Linked DNA regions of Callithrix jacchus. The protein of the gene in region 2 binds, or shares a complex with, the protein of the main gene of each other region. Links are inferred from orthologs where the notes say so. Each region holds a gene or a part of one and is shown on either strand. Other genes may lie near its edges.

Region 1 (3,841 bases), on a different chromosome or scaffold from region 2:
TTTGAGAATGTGATCACCACACAGACCCTTTATCTAGAAAAAATGCAAATATACGCTATATTGTGCTTATGATTTCTGGGGAGCCAAGGACCCTCAGAAGCATATGCATGAAATTGAGAAAGAAGCAGGGCATGATAGCTCACACCTGTAATTCCAGCACTCAGGGCATCTAAGGCAGAATAATTGCTTGAGGCCAGGAGTTCAAGTTCAGCCTGGGCAACACAGGGAGACCCTCATCTCTACAAAAATTAGACAGGCATGGTAGCATGCACATGTAGTCGTAACTACTTGGGAGGCTGTGGAGGAAGGATCACTTGGGCCCAGAAGTTCAAGGCTGCAGTGAACCGTAATCATGCCACTACACCCTAGCCTGGGCAACAGGGCACGACTCTGTGTTGGAAAGAAAAAAAGAGAGAAAGAAAGAGAGAGATTGAGGGGGGGTGGGGGGGATTAAGAACACCTGATGTGAACTTTTAAAATTGCAAAATTGAGCAGTGAAATTTAAGAATCTCTTCAAAGTAGAGAATCCAACTAATACTGAAATATTATATTGTCATTTATTTTTTAAAAACAGATTTTGCAAGAGTAGGACATTGTGTTTTCTAATTTATTCATACTTTTTGGAGGTGATATAAATTTTAAGTTACAACTATTTTTTTCTTTAAAAAAATTTTTTTTGGTAGAGTCAGGGTGCTGTATGTTGCCCAGGCTGGTCTCTAAATCTTGGCCTCAAGTGGTCCTCCGGCCTTAGCCTCCCAAAGTGCTTGGATGACAGGCATGACCCACTGTGCCCAACCAAAAGCATGCACATAATTCAGATGAACTCATTTTAACTTATGGAAATAAACTGGTAGTAGAAACCTATCTTTCTAGCAGCTTGAGACACAATGGTTCAAAGTGTTAACATACTCCACTAATGCTCAAATATCATAGGAAGAGTTCTCAATTCTAATGTAATACACACACACACACACACACACACACGCACATACATATATATATACCTTTTTTTTTTTTGAGACAGAGTTTCGCTCTTGTTACCCAGGCTGGAGTGCAATGGCACGATCATGGCTCAACACAGCCTCCGCCTCCTGGGTTCAAGCAATTCTCCTGCCTCAGCCTCCCGAGTAGCTAGGACTACAGGCGGGCGCCACCATGCCCAGCTAATTTTTGTATTTTTAGTAGAGACGGGATTTCACCTTGTTGACCAGAACGGTCTCGATTTCTGCACCTCGTGATCCACCCGCCTCGGACTCCCAAAGTGCTAGGATTATAGGCTTCAGCCACCATGCCCAGTCTGTAATATATATTTTTAAACATAAAAACACATCTATCTAATTCCTATATTTAAGAGTCTCATGATAAAAGTTTTATTTTTCTTTTTTAAAGTGGGATTTATTTTTCACCAGACTTATGCACTAATACAACATCTGGTTTTCTATAAATTAGCGTGTCCTTGGTTCTGTTTTATGTCATGTTTGTTATGTCGCCTAACAGTGAAAACTAATTGTTCCCAACCTGCCACCAAATACCAACCTGGAAATATGCCACTATTTCAAAAAGCCCAAAGAATAGGGTTTTGTTTTTCCTTTTTAATTGTTTGGTTTTTAAACTACATAGTAAACCGGTTGGCAACCATTACTGAACAAAAATAGTTTTTCGTATGCATGAGCACCATTTTCCCACAGAAAACAACCAATTTTAAGGTACTGGAAGTCCATGCAAGGGTTCACATATACAGTAAACACCCTTTCAATCTGGTTTTATCACATTATTTCTGTGAAAGAAAGACCTGATACTGCAGATCTCAGAATTATATGGTAAAAATCAATGAAACGCTGCACCTGAGGCTCAAACACTAGCCAGAAGGCCTTTGGTCAGAAAGGTCACATCTGCTTTATAAATCCCGCCGTAACTGTGAATGTTTGCGATTCACCACATCCCCAGCACAAGAGAACTGGTGCATCTCTGGTTCCTTCCATAATCTAACGGCTTCCAGCATAGGGCGTAGTGGGAGAGGCCCGCAGCCCTGGAGACAGCGCCGGAGGGATGGAGGCCGCTCCGCTGCGCCCAGGTGCGGAGGGCTCCAGGAGCCGAGACCCCGCGGGATGCAACGGGCTTGGGGGACAGTGCCTGATCCCCTACCCCTGGGCGCCAGGGCCGCCAAGTTACGCCCCCACTGCTTCCTAGAGGTAATGTCCAGCCTACTCCTCCCCCATCTCCCAAAATAGCCCGGTTCCGCTCCCCTCCGCCTGCCGTCCGTGACCCCGACCCCGACCCCGACCCGACCGCGACGGCGCCCTCCCCAGGCCGCAGCGGAGGACTCGGGCCAGGCCGCCAACCCTGGCGGCCGCGGCGGCTCCAGGCCAAGGCGGACCCTAGGGAGGACAGCAGCTGGGCCGCGGCCTGTCCCTAGGGGGAGCGGGTACAGGGCCGCCAGTGGGCAGCGCCTCCGCCCCGCACGAACAAAGCGATCAGGCGCGCCGGCCCGAGGCAGCGCCGCCTCTCCCGGAGCACCGGGGGCGGGGAGGATGGCGGGGGCACTCACCTGAGGGCCGGCGGAGGGCGCGGGCGGGCCGGGCCCGGGATCCCGGACCGCGCCGAGGACGCGCGGTTTACGGGAAAGAGGCGACCGGCGTGGCGTCCACGGTGGGGCCCGGGAGCCCCGCGGCGCGGGCCGGGGGCCGGGGCCCGGTTCGATTCTGCGACCGCGAGGTGCGGGAACCGGTCCGCCGGGCCAGGCAGCGGTGCTAGGCGGCTGGGGCAGCGAAGCCGCCGCCTTTCCCTTCTCCTGCCCCCGTCCTTGCTCCGCAGCGTCCTCGTCCTCGTTGGGTCCCCGCCGCCGCCGCCGCCGCCGCCTCAGCCTCGGCGCTCTTCGGGCTTCTTCTCTCCATCAAGGCCGGGCCGACCCGCAGGGACCATCCCGGGAAGTGAGGGGTTGTTGCCGTTTCCCGCAGCTGTTGGTGGCCATCTTTAATCCTCCTCCTCCTCCTGCTTTCTCCACCTCCCGCTGGCTGCCTGACTGACTGACTCTGGATCCTCCTCTTTCCCCTCCTGCTCCTCCTACTGAGCCGGCCGCAGAAATTGCAGCCGCTCTGCCTCTCCCCCCCCACCCCTCCTGCCTTTCCTTCCTCTTTCCTTACTTCCTTCCCTTCCCTCGGCTTCCCGCTTTCCCCTCACTCTCAGCGGCTGCCTTCGCCCTCGTCTTCAGGCAGCGCCTCTGGATGCTCCCAGCTGGACTTCAGCCCCGCTCCCCTCAGTCCCTCTCCCCACTGCCTTTCAGACGCGCCCCTTCACCGCCCCGCGCCCTGCTCCCCTCTCCCACCCCCCACCCCTGCCCCTCTCCGCGCTGCTCACCCTCCTCAGTCCCAGTTTCTCAAAGGACTCAGCTGAGAAAGGACAACTGGGTTCTTCAGCTATCCTTATCCCTACACCCTTTTGCTGGATGCTGTCAAAGGCGATGGAGAAACGCAAAGCTGCGTTAGTTTTACTCTAGCTGGAGTATAAAAGAACTGCCCACGCCAGCTATTTTACTACGCAGCCTCGAAACTCCTGCACAGTCACCTGTGTGGCTCTGGTCCATGATGGGACCGGAGTTGAGGAGCTAGGTCTCCAGAGGTGCCTTCTGTCAGTGACCTTCAATCGGTTCCATAAGATTTTAGGTTTTCGCTTTCCTTCCTGGAAGGGGCATAATTTATACCTTTGCAGTCCCAACAAACAGTATTTAGACCAAATAAGTATCCTTTAGTAAACCTAGAACTGCTTAGTGATCAGCAGTTTGCTAGTTTGTTCCTATACAACACAGTAGACAATTTGGGTCACGCTTCAGTTCTGGCAGTGA
Region 2 (3,921 bases):
AGAAATGATCACTGGGAGATGAAGTACTCCTGGCGATAATGGCTCCCTCCTCCCAGTCTTCTCCCTCCCTGATTCCACTCCTCCGGATCCCACTCGCCGGCAAAACTCTAGCCAAGTGACATACAACTGAGAACAGCCGTTTTACCAGCTCCTACACATGAAAATATCTTAATTAAAATGTTCTAATAAATGTCCACCTAAAGCAGGTACTTTCGAACAGTATTTTTTACATAAGCATATTTAACATTTAGTTTCACATATGTGTCATAAAACTAAAGTTTTATGAAATGATACTCAGTATTCCATTCCATTACAACAAAATCACCCTCTCTTTGCAGACCGGGAAAAGCTCAACATGAACAGAATAAATCAAAATATACTTCTATCCCTCCAGCTTGTACCCATTACTCTTCTTTCCCCACCACTGAAACCCACTGACGCCTTGGAAAGACTAAAAAACAGCGGGAGGAGGGGAGCAACACAAGGCAAAATTCAGCTCAGCTTGGTGGTTTCTTCTTTATTGATGTGCCTCTTACCTTCCCCCGACAATTTCAGTCCCTTCCAACTACCCCCAAAAAAGAAGGTAGTGAAAGGAAGGGATTGCTGGGGTTTTGAGCCCCTTGGGCAGTCAGAAAGGGAACAGAAACCAAAACAATCACTAGATGTGACAGAGACTGACAATCAAGAGTCTAAAGCAGAATGGGAAAGGCCGGCAGAGAAAGGGGAAAAAAGGAGAAGGGAGAGGTACAAGATGCCAACTCCACCATTACCCCTCCTAAGAGAGGCTGGAGAGAGAGCCTCAAACATTAAGAAGTGCCGGTCCTGAATAAGGGAGGTGGTATTTGAGCTTGAAGGAGGAAGAAGTCAAGAAAGGGGGGCCACCTCTCTCTTTGTAGAATGAGAGCCCCCTCCAGCTCAAGGGCAGCAGCTTCACAGACCGTAGACACTTTCGTCACTATAGGCAATGTACAGAAAGAAGTCTTCTTCATGGTGTTCCTGAGATGAAAGCAGAAAACTGTTCAGCAACTGGGCTCCTAACTTACTTCAACCAACCACCACCCAAACCAGTTTATGGTCTTCTAGAACCACAAACCAGTGCCCGACTCCTTCACTGACTCCAAGGACTAGCATAAGCAGTATAATCTCTGCAGTCCTGGGCAAAAAGACCTTAAACGGTTGTCTGCTGCTCTGGAAAGGGGAGGAGGACTGGGAAGAGTCCTGATCAGAAAGTTCCTCTAGCTCACTGTTCTCTTTGCGTCTCTCTACTCCTACTGTTCTGTTCAAACCCCCAACCCACTGCTATCATGAAATTTTAAGGCAAGTCAGGAAGCTAGTGCAAAACTACTGATGTAACAACACTTTCTTCCGCTCACGCTCTTCCAGAGGCTTCTCCAAAGCCTCCACCACTTCCAAGTCACCGTACCTGGTAAAGTTGACCCATTGTGGCACTGGTGGGTGGAATGACATTGTTGACAAAGAAAAACAAGGCATCCTCAGCTCGGAGATGAATTCGCTTCCGGATCAAGAAGTAGAACTGACCAACTGCAAAAGATACAAGGTGTGAGAAAGTCAGAGAGGTCAAAAATGCCCTCAAAAGAACAGCTGCTAGGTGGAGCCTCCTCCTGCAGAGACTGCACTCCCACCCACAGGAAGCAAGCCTGGGTCTTGGGTCAGGTTCCCACCTGTGAGATCAGAAGGCACCAGGTATTTCTTTTTGTCCAGGTCTCCTATCCGAGCTTTGGGAGCCTTTTCTACTATCACCTGATAAAGAGAGGATGAAAATGAGGAGGCAGAGGAATGCAGCCCCGCAGCTGCACCTGTCAAGAACTCAAGTAACAATAACCCTTGCACCTAAATCTACCCCAGACTCATCTGTCTTTGCACACGCGGTGCAGCCCTGAGTCCCAGAGATCCTGACCTTACTGACTGGAGTTCATTTAAATAGCCAGGATCCATCCCCCGAATAGGGCGTCACCATAAACAACTATCTTAATCAGATGGAGATGACTTGTCTGGGCCGACTAGTGCTTCAATCTCACAACCTCAACTAGCTGGGGGGATGACCACTTGAAGCTCAGGCTGTCAAACTCTCTTAAGGCCTCCACTCACAAATGCCAAGGTTTCTCTCTCCTGTCTACATCCCTCTCTACTCCAGGTCCACCACTACCCCACCCCTTTCATCCTCGGTCCCAGGGACAGCAGTTTCAGGGTCGCTTCCAATCCCGCCATAGCCAGCAGCCTGATCCTCCCGCTGCCCGTCCCAAATCCAAGGCCAGGCTGTGGCGTCAGCGTAAGCGTCCCGCGCCCTCCGCCCAGGCTACTGTCCTCACCGGCACCCGGTCCGGGTATTTCTTTCGGATCTTCTCGCCCTCAGAGCGGCGCTTCTCGAATGGATGCTCTTCTTTGTACACGAACTTCATCCTCCCGAGAACCGGGCTGGACCGGGCTGGGCTGAGGGAACCCGGGAGGGGGGGGCCGGACGGGGGACGGCGGCAACAGTGGCGACGGGCGGGCGGAATCAGCGGAGCGATCCACGAATTTGCGCCACTTCCCTATTCACCAACCCCGCCCCCGACTAACAGGACGGCCCCCCCGTTAAGATACGCCACTACCTCATCGGCACTAACGCTGCTAGCGTAGCAACACCCACTGACCCTCCCCCTCACGCCATTAGCGTAATCGCTTTGGAATTAATGTGTGGGATACGCAGAAGACGTAGCAAAGACGGTTGGTTTTCACTCATTGAAAATACCTCTAAACCTATTCCCCAACCTCCCCCTCAAGGAAGCTGGGGCTCAAGAGGAGTATGAGATGGTAATAACCATGAGACTTGGTTTCCCAAGTTCCTTTCGGAAATAACGTAGAGGAACAGCAGAGACAATTACAAGGTCGGCTATTCACAAAACGCGTTGCTACGCTGAAGGCGGCCGTTGACACCAAAACAAAGTAGTACCCAAGGGACAGAGATGATCTCCACAAATAAGAGTTCAAAAAGAAAACGGATGTTTGGAGAGATGTACAGAACGCTTAAGTACCAGGAATGAGTAGACCAATAGGGACTGGAGAGGAGGTCCAAGAGGTAAGGACTACGCCAGCGCGGAGGAACATCGCAGTTTGAGTGAAATCATGTGATCTCAGAGAGGGCGGAGCGTCACGTGGCGGGTGCGGAAAGTAGGGCCGGCTGGGGGGGCGGAAAGTAGGGCCGGCTGGGGGGGCGGGGCCAGCTGAGCAACGTCGGGGAGGGGCCCCTCTTCCGAGAGCGGAGGTCGAGGCGGCCCTAGGGGGCAGCGCCCGCGTAGTCTGTCCATATCAGTGCTCCCATCGAAGCCCGACGTTTCTCTAGCTCTACGCCCTTTGGCCGCCCAGGTTTCTCCTTTCGGCCTTCAATAGCCTACTGCTCCAAAGGTATCCTTCCACTCCACACCAGTGCGCCCATCCTGTCACTCGGCCCTTCCCGCCAAAGCATCTGGTGTCCACATTCACTATTGTATCCTCATGCTCAACAGCACCTTTCCCCGTGCCCTCGAGTCCAGCAGTAGGCTCTTCGCCCACTGCTCTGGAGACAGGGTGCATGTGAATAAAGTGCCCTCCCCTCACTTCCCAAAACCCCAGAGAAGGACCTAAGGGCCGCTTTGGTTTCAAAGTTATAATGCATGGTTTAAAAGAGAGGAAAGGAAAAAAGACAAAGCTGGTTACAGGTCTGAGGGAGTCTAAGGAGAGAAAAATACGAGAGTAAAGGGGGGACAAATTGAGGGAAAAACCAGTGGCCCAAAATCCCCGTATCCCACCCACAGCCCAGCCCTTGGAGCAGGAGTGAAGAATTAGATCAGTTTTGTACAAGAGTTTAAAAAAAATCAAATCACAACAAAGCTGACTTGGCTTCTCTTTGAGTCTCCTGGATCACCGTATGTCTGTCACTCT
Region 3 (3,509 bases), about 69 Mb from region 2:
ACAGGGGTGAGTGTAATGCCAAACATGGGATAGTGTGAGTCATGTAAGGTGGGAGTTGAAGGTGGGGAATGAGCCAGATCAGGGACTGGAAGAAGCTTTCAGAAATAGGAGCCGGCCAGAGGTAGAGGACTGGAGGGCAAGGGTGAAGGGGAGAGACAGGGATGTGGGCCAGAGAAGAAAGGATGGAAGGGAGAGGAGTAGGGGGTGTGGATGATTAGATGCTGGGGATGGGGGCCAGAAAGAGCGAGGATGAAGGGGGCTTGAAAAGGGGCTCAGGCGGATTAGAGGATCAGAGAAGTTGAGGGGGTCAGGGAAGGAACGGCTATCACCCAACCTCACACGCTTTAAGAAGGGAGGTTTCGGCGTCCAGCCCGAGGCGTCGGAGGGGCCCGACAGGGATCGGTAGTCGGCAAGGGGTTCGTGGCGTGACCAGCAGACGCTCAGTAGTTGAACTGGCGCTGGCACGGCTGGTAGATGAAGCTGCCCTGGTGCTTGGGCCGGCGCGGACGGCTCTCGCGGGCTCGGTTCTGCCGCTGCACCGCCTTGGCGCTCAGCGCGTGGCGCTCCGCCCGCTGCCGGGCCCGCTGCAGCCGCCGCACCTGACCCGCCTTCTCCAGCAGCGCCGCCCGCGCGGGTAGAGGAGCAGCGTGGCGCGCGGCCCGGGGCTCGCGGTGGGCGGGCGCCACCTCCCTGTGGACACAGCGAGGGGCTGGGTCAGGCCGGATAAGCCGGGCGGGAGGCCTAAGGGGAGCTGCCATCTCCCACCCTTGCCTTGCTGCAATTCTGTGTCTGCTCAGATTGGGGTCCCCGACGCCCTTCTTGTGGATACCACCCTGGAGATGTCTCCTCGGTTCTCGCCCCTGACAGGTAAACTGGACCTCGGGGAAGACTAGACTCCCACCCTCAATTCCACCCTTGCCTTTCTGTTTAAGCACAACTCCCACGGCACTCTAGCCACGCTCAAGCCTCCAAATCCTTCCGTGGCCTCTTAGCCACGCCCCTCCCTCCCAAGCCCCACCCCGGCCACGAGGCCACGCATCTCCCACACGACAGCCCTCACCCTAAGTCCCCCTGCTAGCCTCTCCCACCCTCTCTCTCCCACCCGCCCCTCACCCTAAGTCCCCCTGCTAGCCTCTCCCACCCTCTCTCTCCCACCCGCCCCTCACCCTAAGTCCCCCTGCTAGCCTCTCCCACCCTCTCTCTCCCACCCGCCCCTCACCCTAAGTCCCCCTGCTAGCCTCTCCCACCCTCTCCCACCCGCCCCTCACCCTAAGTCCCCCTGCTAGCCTCTCCCACCCTCTCCCACGCCTCTCCCACCCGCCCCTCACCCTAAGTCCCCCTGCTAGCCTCTCCCACCCTCTCCCACCCGCCCCTCACCCTAAGTCCCCCTGCTAGCCTCTCCCACGCCTCTCCCACCCGCCCCTCACCCTAAGTCCCCCTGCTAGCCTCTCCCACCCTCTCCCACCCGCCCCTCACCCTAAGTCCCCCTGCTAGCCTCTCCCACCCTCTCCCACCCGCCCCTCACCCTAAGTCCCCCTGCTAGCCTCTCCCACCCTCTCTCTCCCACCCGCCCCTCACCCTAAGTCCCCCTGCTAGCCTCTCCCACCCTCTCCCACCCGCCCCTCACCCTAAGTCCCCCTGCTAGCCTCTCCCACCCTCTCCCACCCGCCCCTCACCCTAAGTCCCCCTGCTAGCCTCTCCCACGCCTCTCCCACCCGCTCCTCACCCTAAGTCCCCCTGCTAGCCTCTCCCACCCTCTCCCACCCGCCCCTCACCCTAAGTCCCCCTGCTAGCCTCTCCCACCCTCTCTCCCACCCGCCCCTCACCCTAAGTCCCCCTGCTAGCCTCTCCCACCCTCTCTCTCCCACCCGCCCCTCACCCTAAGTCCCCCTGCTAGCCTCTCCCACCCTCTCCCACGCCTCTCTCACCCACCCCTCACCCTAAGTCCCCCTGCTAGCCTCTCCCACCCTCTCCCACCCGCCCCTCACCCTAAGTCCCCCTGCTAGCCTCTCCCACCCTCTCCCACCCGCCCCTCACCCTAAGTCCCCCTGCTAGCCTCTCCCACCCTCTCTCTCCCACCCGCCCCTCACCCTAAGTCCCCCTGCTAGCCTCTCCCACCCTCTCTCTCCCACCCGCCCCTCACCCTAAGTCCCCCTGCTAGCCTCTCCCACCCTCTCTCCCACCCGCCCCTCACCCTAAGTCCCCCTGCTAGCCTCTCCCACCCTCTCCCACCCGCCCCTCACCCTAAGTCCCCCTGCTAGCCTCTCCCACCCTCTCTCTCCCACCCGCCCCTCACCCTAAGTCCCCCTGCTAGCCTCTCCCACCCTCTCTCTCCCACCCGCCCCTCACCCTAAGTCCCCCTGCTAGCCTCTCCCACCCTCTCTCTCCCACCCGCCCCTCACCCTAAGTCCCCCTGCTAGCCTCTCCCACCCTCTCTCTCCCACCCGCCCCTCACCCTAAGTCCCCCTGCTAGCCTCTCCCACCCTCTCCCACCCGCCCCTCACCCTAAGTCCCCCTGCTAGCCTCTCCCACCCTCTCCCACGCCTCTCCCACCCGCCCCTCACCCTAAGTCCCCCTGCTAACCTCTCCCACCCTCTCCCACCCGCCCCTCACCCTAAGTCCCCCTGCTAGCCTCTCCCACGCCTCTCCCACCCGCCCCTCACCCTAAGTCCCCCTGCTAGCCTCTCCCACCCTCTCCCACCCGCCCCTCACCCTAAGTCCCCCTGCTAGCCTCTCCCACCCTCTCCCACGCCTCTCCCACCCGCCCCTCACCCTAAGTCCCCCTGCTAGCCTCTCCCACCCTCTCCCACCCGCCCCTCACCCTAAGTCCCCCTGCTAGCCTCTCCCACCCTCTCTCTCCCACCCGCCCCTCACCCTAAGTCCCCCTGCTAGCCTCTCCCACCCTCTCTCTCCCACCCGCCCCTCACCCTAAGTCCCCCTGCTAGCCTCTCCCACCCTCTCCCACCCGCCCCTCACCCTAAGTCCCCCTGCTAGCCTCTCCCACCCTCTCCCACCCGCCCCTCACCCTAAGTCCCCCTGCTAGCCTCTCCCACGCCTCTCCCACCCGCTCCTCACCCTAAGTCCCCCTGCTAGCCTCTCCCACCCTCTCCCACCCGCCCCTCACCCTAAGTCCCCCTGCTAGCCTCTCCCACCCTCTCTCCCACCCGCCCCTCACCCTAAGTCCCCCTGCTAGCCTCTCCCACCCTCTCTCTCCCACCCGCCCCTCACCCTAAGTCCCCCTGCTAGCCTCTCCCACCCTCTCCCACGCCTCTCTCACCCACCCCTCACCCTAAGTCCCCCTGCTAGCCTCTCCCACCCTCTCCCACCCGCCCCTCACCCTAAGTCCCCCTGCTAGCCTCTCCCACCCTCTCTCCCACCCGCCCCTCACCCTAAGTCCCCCTGCTAGCCTCTCCCACCCTCTCTCCCACCCGCCCCTCACCCTAAGTCCCCCTGCTAGCCTCTCCCACCCTCTCTCTCCCACCCGCCCCTCACCCTAAGTCCCCCTGCTA
Region 4 (4,121 bases), about 87 Mb from region 2:
GTGAGAGACTGTGTGACGGTGACACAGTCACAAGGTTGTCCTTCAGAGGGAATGGGAAGAAGAGAGGTTTGTTTTGACTATGGTGGGCAGTGATGTGAGAGGAAGACAGTGGCAGGGTTTCACAGGAAGTGGGTCGGAAGTGGAAACGTGTTTGGTGTTCTCAGTGACTTTTAACATCTGAACTGCATGGGGTGTGTAAAGGTTGAGGGAATGACTCAAAATGAAGCCCGCTCTGATGGAACAGCAACTTCATACAAGCAAGGGGAGAAATGCTTGCACCACTGGGTCTCAAAGGATGCTAAGTTACTCACCAGGCCTCTGGCTTCCATTGTATTTTAGAGTGAGGACTCTCTAAAATATGTCTTTTCTTTTGGGTAAAAAGGGGAAAGGGGAAACTGAATATTGGAGAGTGGGAGAAGACGCTGGAGAGGACTTCAGGTTTTGAAATGCAGATATGGAAGGAAAGTCTCAAAGTCAGGTGATTGGAGGTGATTTCCTTTTAGTCATGGCAAGTAAGGACAGGCAATGGTGGAAAAGCCAGGGATCTAATTCAGCAGCAACAGCCAACCAATCCTACAAACTGAGTTATCTTTTGGTATCAGGGAGAGGCACAGCATGTACAAAAAAAAAAAAAATCACTTCTAACGGATGCATACACTAATACAAAATGTTAATAATAAGGGAATTGCGAAGGGGGAAGAGATATAGGAAGCTCCCGGTCCCTTCTGCTCAATTTTTCTGTAAACGTAAGATTCAAACCTACTAATTAAAACACACACACACACCCCTAAAAGGGATTCTCTGCTGCAAGGTTTTCTGATTTTGGGGGTTGTTTTTTGTTTTCCTACAGGCTCATAATTTCAAATTAGTGGTGCTTCATTTTTTTTTAAATAAATGCTGGAAGAAAAGTTAAAACTTATAGAACCTTTACAACCTAAGAAGCGAATAATTATTCTACAAACCAACAAATATTAAGAGCGTCCTATAACCAACTCATTTAATCTTCACACAATCCTATGAAATACTCCTGTTCACATTTCACAAAAGAAGAAGAAACAGTTCAGAGACAAGTCAAACAATATATACTAGAACGAGGCGACTACTTTGGATACCAAAACCACATTTCCGAACCACAAAATCCAACCTAGGAAAATTGGCGCTCTCGAGTGTCGTCATTAAAATAAGGAACACAGAGAAGGATCGCGATATTACACGAACTACTACTCCCAACATGCAAAGCGGTCTCTTTCAGTCTCGGCCCGGGGGTCCGAGAGCCCCAGTAGCCCTTGGGGCGCAAAAGGCATCGTGGGAGCTGTAGTTCTCCTGGGCGCCTAGTGTTGTCGCCCACGCGGTGGCAGCGGCGTCTGAGGCTCCCAGCCAGCGGGTCCTGTGAACGCGAGCAGAGGCGGAGAAGGGACGCGGGTGTGAGAGCGGGTGAGTCAGCCACTGTCTAAACGATAAAGGGAGGCGGCTCCTTGGGGTTGGGCTGAATTCAGTAAATGGGCTCGTGCTCCGGCTTCTTCGGACACGCTGCTGCCTTAGCGTCAGCGAGGGAAGGGTGAGGAGGAGCCAGAGCCGGGTCCTGCAGCCGTTCTCGCCTTCAGCGCCCGTCGCCATCTCCATCATGCAGTCCCGGGAGGACGCCCCGCGCTCTCGCCGCCTCGCCAGTCCCCGCGGTGGGAAGCGGCCCAAGAAGATTCACATACCCACAGTTTCGGCCTTTTTCACGGGCCCAGAGGAATTAAAGGACACGGCCCATTCTGCAGCCCTCCTGGCCCAGCTCAAGTCCTTCTACGACGCGCGGCTGCTGTGCGATGTGACCATCGAGGTGGTAACGCCCGGCAGCGGGCCCGGCACGGGTCGCCTGTTCCCCTGCAACCGCAACGTGCTGGCAGCTGCGTGTCCCTACTTCAAGAGCATGTTCACAGGTGGCATGTACGAGAGCCAGCAGGCCAGCGTGACCATGCACGACGTGGACGCCGAGTCCTTCGAGGTGCTGGTGGACTATTGCTACACGGGTCGTGTGTCGCTCAGTGAGGCCAACGTGGAGCGCCTGTACGCGGCCTCGGACATGCTGCAGCTGGAGTACGTGCGGGAAGCCTGTGCCTCCTTCTTAGCCCGACGCCTGGAGCTCACCAACTGCACCGCCATCCTCAAGTTTGCAGACGCCTTTGACCATCGCAAGCTGCGATCTCAGGCCCAGTCCTATATAGCTCACAACTTCAAGCAGCTCAGCCACATGGGTTCGATTCGGGAGGAGACTCTAGCAGATCTGACCCTGGCCCAGCTGCTGGCTGTTCTGCGCCTGGATAGTCTGGACGTGGAGAGTGAGCGGACAGTGTGCCACGTAGCAGTGCAGTGGCTGGAGGCTGCTCCCAAAGAGCGGGGTCCCAGTGCTGCAGAAGTCTTCAAGTGCGTGCGCTGGACGCACTTCACTGAGGAAGATCAGGACTACTTAGAAGGGCTGCTGAGCAAGCCCTTAGTGAAGAAGTACTGCCTGGGCGTTGTTGAAGGGGCCCTGCAGATGCGCTATGGCGACCTGCTGTACAAGTCTCTGGTGCCAGTGCCAAACAGCAGCAGCAGCGGCGGCAGCAGCAGCAGCAGCAGCAGCAACTCTGTTGTACCTGCAGCAGAAAATCCACCTCAGAGGCTGGGTATGTGTGCCAAGGAGATGCTGATCTTCTTTGGACACCCCAGAGATCCCTTTCTTTGCTGTGATCCGTACTCTGGGGACCTTTACAAAGTGCCCTCACCTTTGACCTGTCTTGCTCACACTAGGACTGTCACTACCTTAGCTGTCTGTATCTCTCCAGAGCACGACATCTACCTAGCTGCCCAGCCCAGGACAGACCTCTGGGTGTATAAACCAGGTCAGAATAGTTGGCACCAACTTGCAGATCGCATGCTGTGTCGTGAGGGCATGGATGTGGCATACCTCAATGGCTACATTTACATTTTGGGGGGGCGAGACCCTATTACTGGAGTTAAATTGAAGGAAGTAGAATGCTACAATGTTAAGAGAAACCAGTGGGCGTTGGTGGCTCCACTGCCCCATTCTTTTTTATCCTTTGACCTGTTGGTAATTCGGGACTATCTCTATGCTCTCAACAGTAAGCGCATGTTCTGTTATGATCCTAGCCACAACATGTGGCTGAAGTGCGTTTCTCTGAAGCGCAATGACTTTCAGGAAGCGTGTGTCTTCAATGAGGAGATCTATTGTATCTGTGACATCCCAGTCATGAAGGTCTACAACCCAGTTAGGGCAGAATGGAGGCAAATGAATAATATTCCCTTGGTGTCAGAGACCAATAACTACCGGATTATCAAGCATGGCCAAAAATTGTTGCTCGTCACCTCTCGCACCCCACAGTGGAAAAAGAACCGGGTGACTGTGTATGAATATGATATTAGGGGAGACCAATGGATTAATATAGGTACCACATTAGGCCTCTTGCAGTTTGATTCCAACTTTTTTTGCCTCTCTGCTCGTGTTTATCCTTCCTGCCTTGAACCTGGTCAGAGTTTCCTCACTGAAGAAGAAGAAATACCAAGTGAATCTAGCACTGAATGGGACTTAGGTGGATTCAGTGAGCCAGAGTCTGAGTCAGGAAGTTCAAGTTCTATTTCTGATGATGATTTTTGGGTGCGTGTGGCACCTCAGTGAAATGCACAGGATCAGCAGGGTTTGTTGTAACTGAATTCAAACACTAAGTTGTTTTTGCTGTTTTGGAATATATCTTAAATATCCTTTTTGTTCCCAAAGGGGAGGAAAAGTTGATTAACTGGTTTGGTTTAGAAAAAGTAATGTTTGAAATATGAAGGTAATTTAATATTACAAATTTTAACACTCAAAGCAACCTTTTAATAATTTTTTGTGCTAAGAATCCAGTATTTATTTATTTAGTATGTTTATGTTTCATAAAACTAATTTAGTCTTTTGATAAATTTTACATTTTGTTTATTGCCACAAGCACCGTGGCAGTAACTTTTTAATTTTAATTTTTATAACAGAAAAAGGATTAGGAATTGCTAGGCAGTGTTTTGAAAGCATATCTTTTTCTTCAGAACAATGTAGATTTCCAAAATGGTTAACCTAAGGGGTCTTTATAAAATATATTATA
Region 5 (4,140 bases), on a different chromosome or scaffold from region 2:
ATGCCTCAGGCTCAAGTGATCCTCTTTCTTCCTAGATAGTTGGGATAACAGGTATGCATCACATCTGGCTAATTTTAAAATTTGTGTAGAGATGAGGTTGCCTCACTATGTTGCCAAGCAAGGTTGAGTTGTCAAACTCCTAGCCTTAAGCAATCCTCCTTCCTCAGCCTCCTAAAGTACTGTGATTACAAGGGTGAGCCACTGCGCCCAGCCCCAAACTTTCTGTGTTACCTGACCACCTTCTAGCTTTTTAGGGGTATTTAAAGAAGTTGATTTGCATAAAAGTACTAGGGGAAGTACTTGGTGCACAAAAAGTACAACCTCAAAGGGGCTGCTGTGAGGACTCCATAAGGACAGACCAGGAAGTACTGTTTAGAGAAGTACCATCTTGAGTCAGACCTTCCTGGGGTGTGATCCTACCCTGTCCCTTTCCTCCTGGGTGATGGTAAGCTCTCGAGGTACCCCAGGGATCCTCCTTTTCCCTCCAAGTCTCACCTGCCAGAGGTCCAGGCCCAGCACACCAAAGTTATCATAGGCATAGATATTGGGATCAGGGGAATACTCGGGATTGTCAATTTCTGGGTGGATCCAAGTGCCCTTGTAATCTGGGTTGTCGATCTGTCGGGGCTTCCACTCACCCTGCAGAAGGCATAAGGGAGAAAAGAACCAGAGGGTGAGTGAGGTTGGTGGACTCCCCACTGTGAGCTCCAGCCCTGCTCAGAACCCCAAACTCACCTTGTACTCAGGGTTCTGAATCACTGGGGGTTCCCACTCTCCATCCATCTCTTCATCCCAGTCCTCAGGCTTCTTGGCATCAGGGTCAGGAATATGCTCAGGCTTGTCCCAGTCCTGGGGTGTAGAAGAGGTCAGAGTTGGCCCAGCTGTCCTACACACGCTCCAGTGTGGAAAGCAGAGCCCCTCCCCAAACACCTACCTCAGGCTTGGAGTCTGTGGGATCATCGATCTTGGCCCGCTCATCCCAGTCTTCCGGTTTTGAAGCAGCAGGATCCTTTATCTTCTTGGGTGGCAGAAAGTCCCAATCGTCCTCCAAGGACCCCGACTCCACCTGGCTGTTGTCGATCTTCACCTCGTAGGTATTGTCCGGTCGCACAATCAGTGTGTACAGGTGTGTAAACTCATCATCCTGAAGAAGGAAGGAGGTGAGTGGGGCCCCCCGCAATCAGACCGACCTCTGAACTTCCCATGACAGCCATCATTTGCCACCACCACCCCCAGGCACACCTTGCAACGGATGTCCTTGTTGATCAGCACGTTCTTGCCCTTGTAGTTGAAGATGACATGAACCTTCTTGGTGCCAGGGCCACAGATGTCAGGACCTAGGTGGGAAACACATCCAGTTAAGAGTCAGAGACTACCCACCATTTCAAGGCCCTCTCCCCTCTTTACAAAAGGAAAACCTGGTTCTTAAACTTGGTCTGTCAAGGCTAAAAAGAGGGACTCAGACCTTGATGCTGTCCTGAATGAACTGTGGCTGGAGCCTCAAGTTTAAAGAAAAAAAATGAGCGTTCTAGAACTCAACATCCTCATTTGTAAGATTGGGAAGTAACTATATACAATCATACAAATTAAATTAACAGCCTAGATCTGGGATAAGGCAATAAATTGTTGCTAACTGTGACCTATTCTTTTAGCTCTCCTTCCAAAGAAAATCATGATTAGTAAATGCTTTCCATCCTCTCAAAAATCACTTTTCTGGGATGTAAGGAACTCAATGGGGTCTGAGTCTCCCTCCAACTAATGGGACAGAGATCAGCACCAGGAACCAGCCCCTCACCGAACATGATGTTGTATTCTGAGTCTCCGTGCATGTCCGTCTGGTCCAAACTACTAGGAAACAGCTTCACATAGCCGCCCCCACAGTCGATGTTCTGCTCATGTTTCACCGTGAACTGCACCACTAGTGTCTGCCCTTTGTTGCTAAAGGGCTCAAAACTGGCCGATAGAGCATAAAAGCGTGCATCCTGGCTTGTCTGCAAACCTGAAACGGAATAGCAGTGAGGTCACCGTTGGGCCCTGACCCCCGAGGACCCAAGACCTAGAGAATACAAACGACTCCCCTTTCCTCCACCTGCTCTCCTCCTAGGGGACTGTCCCAGCTGTGTGCAGACAAGGACTTCTGCCAGGAAGTCCTCCCGGATCAGAGCACCCACTCCTAGGCTCTTACCTTTATCTTTCTCCTGGTCACCGTAGAACTTGCCGGAACTGAGGGCAAATTTGCCAAAATCTGACTTGTGTTTGGATTCGATCCAGCGGGAAGTCCACCCATCTAAGTGGGAGGTTAGAGGGGGGAGGTCAACGCGGTTGTGCCGATTCCCCACCACCAAACATCTGCCGAGAATCAAAAACTGCTGGGGACAGGGAAGGAGATCCCCGACTCTCCCCACCCCAACCTCTAGTTTGACACCTCAGGTGCCTTAAGAGATCCTCAGGCGAACCCTAACTCCCGCTGCGGGAGGCCGCTGCGCCTCTGCGCTCCCCAGGGACGCAAAAGAGGAATAGCCCTCGGCTCTAGGCCCTGGAGGCCACCATGTTGGTCCCCAAAGCAGTAATTACGGGCAACAACGCAGATCCGGGATGGGGGCCAGCCGCGTCGGCGGGGCAGCCTCGAGGCGAAATCAGGCGTTACCTCCGTCCAGAAACTGCTCCTTGAAATAGATGGCGGGCTCGGCGGCAGCCAGGCCGAGGAGGCCGAGCAGCAGCGGCACGGATAGCAGCATGGCGGGCCGAGGGGGCGGCGGCGCGCTGGCCCTTTAAAACGACTTTGGGGCAGCGGCTCTGCAGTACGGACGGCCGCCGCCGCCCGCCTTGCACCTTTATACCCATCCGCCTCTCAAACCAACCTGACCAAGCCCTTGGGCCCGCCCTTGACACTTTATCATTGGTCTGCGCTCACGATTGTCTTTTTCCATTGGATCTTTATCGGTTCACCATGTTAGGCTGCGCCTCGGAACGCTGGGTTCCCAGATGGCCGATTTCTATTGGCCTCACCGCTGACCAATGAGAGTCGACCACGCGTTGTGGGGGACGCCCTCTGGTGGGGCGGGGGCCTCGAGCCCCTCAGGCCAGGTCATGTGACCAGATCTAAACCCAACCCCGCCCTCGCCCGCGTGCGTCTTTCCTCATCTGGGCGTTTAAAGCACTGGCGCGAGCGCAGGTGTTTCCACGCGGGACCGGAACCATGTCCCAACTTCTCTCCCTCTCATTCCCTCTACCTGGAGGGGCTGGGCAAGGCTTTTCTAGCCATTCGGGAACCAGTACCCTACAGCCGCTCCCCCATCTCCGCCCGGGATTGAACAGAGCTCAGGGGTTGTGGCCCTGGGGCTTCGCTGCACCCCAGTGCTACAGCCACGCGGGCCAATGGGAAAAATGCCAACTCTCTCCTCCTTCTGCCCCTAGTGCCCTGGCAGCCTATCGGACTGCTGCTGTGCGACCTGGGGCAAGTCACTTAACCTTTCTGAAGTGACAGACGCCCCTGAGCAGCCAGAGGGGACGACCCTCCCTGGTCAGATGCTACCCAGCCGAAAGGCTTTTAACGTTTTGAAAGCTGTCCTGGGACAAGAGGGAAGGAAGGCTTAAGGATGTGACTCCTGGGGTGGGGACAGGGTTATTACCCAGGTTGCAGCAGCCCCTTTACTCTCTTCTCAACCGGTAAATGAAGGGGGTCGATGTCTTGTGGTCTCCCACAAACGGCCTGGCTTTTGCAATTAAACGTCTATAGGCGAGAGGGCCGGGGGTTCCGTTTGGGGAGGGAAAAAAGACAGACGGTAGGGACGATAAGGTGCTAGGGAGATGGGCAGGACCCCCCCCCCCACCTCGACCTCGACTGAGTCTAGTGCCTTCTTCTGAAGCTAGAGAGACGTGACTGACACCAGCACCCTGCCCCCACGCTGCAGAAAGGAGGAAGGAGAGCTGGGGGTTTTCCAAAGTCTAGGCAAATAAGCCCTGGACCTGGGAACCCGGGAGTGGACTGTGGAAGGAGGGAATGAAGGGGATCCAGGAAAGAGGGCGGGGAGGGTTGCTTCCTAGCTAAAGATAGTCAGAAAAGGGAGGAAGGAACAAATTCTTTAAAAGGGAAAACAAAGTTGGAAGGGGGGGAATAATCTGGCAAGTGTTTTTGGT

Evidence for each region.
Region 1: the proteins of GABARAP (region 2) and WDFY3 are in contact, whole or in part, in a crystal structure (PDB 3WIM), measured with the Homo sapiens proteins. The link is inferred for Callithrix jacchus from reciprocal best matches to the Homo sapiens genes GABARAP and WDFY3. Residues at the interface, in NP_009209.1 of Homo sapiens: Glu17, Ile21, Lys24, Tyr25, Arg28, Pro30, Lys46, Lys48, Tyr49, Leu50, Val51, Pro52, Asp54, Leu55, Leu63, Lys66, Arg67, Phe104; in NP_055806.2 of Homo sapiens: Glu3342, Lys3343, Asp3344, Gly3345, Phe3346, Ile3347, Phe3348, Val3349, Asn3350, Tyr3351, Ser3352.
Region 3: the proteins of GABARAP (region 2) and TP53INP2 are in contact, whole or in part, in a crystal structure (PDB 8T31), measured with the Homo sapiens proteins. The link is inferred for Callithrix jacchus from reciprocal best matches to the Homo sapiens genes GABARAP and TP53INP2. Residues at the interface, in NP_009209.1 of Homo sapiens: Tyr5, Glu17, Ile21, Tyr25, Arg28, Pro30, Val31, Ile32, Lys46, Lys48, Tyr49, Leu50, Val51, Pro52, Asp54, Leu55, Gln59, Leu63, Arg67, Phe104; in NP_001316358.1 of Homo sapiens: Glu31, Val32, Asp33, Gly34, Trp35, Leu36, Ile37, Ile38, Asp39, Leu40, Pro41.
Region 4: the proteins of GABARAP (region 2) and KBTBD6 are in contact, whole or in part, in a crystal structure (PDB 4XC2), measured with the Homo sapiens proteins. The link is inferred for Callithrix jacchus from reciprocal best matches to the Homo sapiens genes GABARAP and KBTBD6. Residues at the interface, in NP_009209.1 of Homo sapiens: Tyr5, Glu8, His9, Glu17, Ile21, Tyr25, Arg28, Pro30, Val31, Ile32, Leu44, Asp45, Lys46, Lys47, Lys48, Tyr49, Leu50, Val51, Pro52, Leu55, Leu63, Arg67, Phe104; in NP_690867.3 of Homo sapiens: Ser663, Asp664, Asp665, Asp666, Phe667, Trp668, Val669, Arg670, Val671, Ala672, Pro673.
Region 5: the proteins of GABARAP (region 2) and CALR are in contact, whole or in part, in a crystal structure (PDB 3DOW), measured with the Homo sapiens proteins. The link is inferred for Callithrix jacchus from reciprocal best matches to the Homo sapiens genes GABARAP and CALR. Residues at the interface, in NP_009209.1 of Homo sapiens: Glu17, Ile21, Tyr25, Arg28, Pro30, Val31, Ile32, Lys48, Tyr49, Leu50, Val51, Pro52, Leu55, Phe60, Leu63, Ile64, Arg67, Phe104; in NP_004334.1 of Homo sapiens: Asp199, Trp200, Asp201, Phe202, Leu203, Pro204, Pro205.

Annotation. Positions count from the first base shown.
Region 1 is NC_133504.1:112,702,930-112,706,770, reverse strand, and holds the start of WDFY3 (WD repeat and FYVE domain-containing protein 3), read right to left. Parts: upstream 2,553-3,841; 5' UTR 2,549-2,552; intron 1-2,548. UniProt on the Homo sapiens protein: Required for selective macroautophagy (aggrephagy). Acts as an adapter protein by linking specific proteins destined for degradation to the core autophagic machinery members, such as the ATG5-ATG12-ATG16L E3-like ligase, SQSTM1 and LC3.
Region 2 is NC_133506.1:73,732,798-73,736,718, forward strand, and holds GABARAP (gamma-aminobutyric acid receptor-associated protein), read right to left. Parts: upstream 2,544-3,921; 5' UTR 2,421-2,543; coding exon 2,331-2,420; intron 1,762-2,330; coding exon 1,683-1,761; intron 1,543-1,682; coding exon 1,424-1,542; intron 997-1,423; coding exon 931-996; 3' UTR 503-930; downstream 1-502. UniProt on the Homo sapiens protein: Ubiquitin-like modifier that plays a role in intracellular transport of GABA(A) receptors and its interaction with the cytoskeleton.
Region 3 is NC_133506.1:4,600,025-4,603,533, forward strand, and holds part of TP53INP2 (tumor protein p53-inducible nuclear protein 2), read right to left. Parts: intron 691-3,509; coding exon 441-690; 3' UTR 1-440. UniProt on the Homo sapiens protein: Dual regulator of transcription and autophagy. Positively regulates autophagy and is required for autophagosome formation and processing.
Region 4 is NC_133506.1:160,304,715-160,308,835, reverse strand, and holds the start of KBTBD6 (kelch repeat and BTB domain-containing protein 6), read left to right. Parts: upstream 1-1,314; 5' UTR 1,315-1,624; coding exon 1,625-3,664; 3' UTR 3,665-4,121. UniProt on the Homo sapiens protein: As part of the CUL3(KBTBD6/7) E3 ubiquitin ligase complex functions as a substrate adapter for the RAC1 guanine exchange factor (GEF) TIAM1, mediating its 'Lys-48' ubiquitination and proteasomal degradation.
Region 5 is NC_133523.1:11,760,788-11,764,927, reverse strand, and holds the start of CALR (calreticulin), read right to left. Parts: upstream 2,810-4,140; 5' UTR 2,739-2,809; coding exon 2,648-2,738; intron 2,288-2,647; coding exon 2,186-2,287; intron 2,000-2,185; coding exon 1,796-1,999; intron 1,338-1,795; coding exon 1,243-1,337; intron 1,145-1,242; coding exon 935-1,144; intron 850-934; coding exon 736-849; intron 640-735; coding exon 496-639; intron 1-495. UniProt on the Homo sapiens protein: Calcium-binding chaperone that promotes folding, oligomeric assembly and quality control in the endoplasmic reticulum (ER) via the calreticulin/calnexin cycle.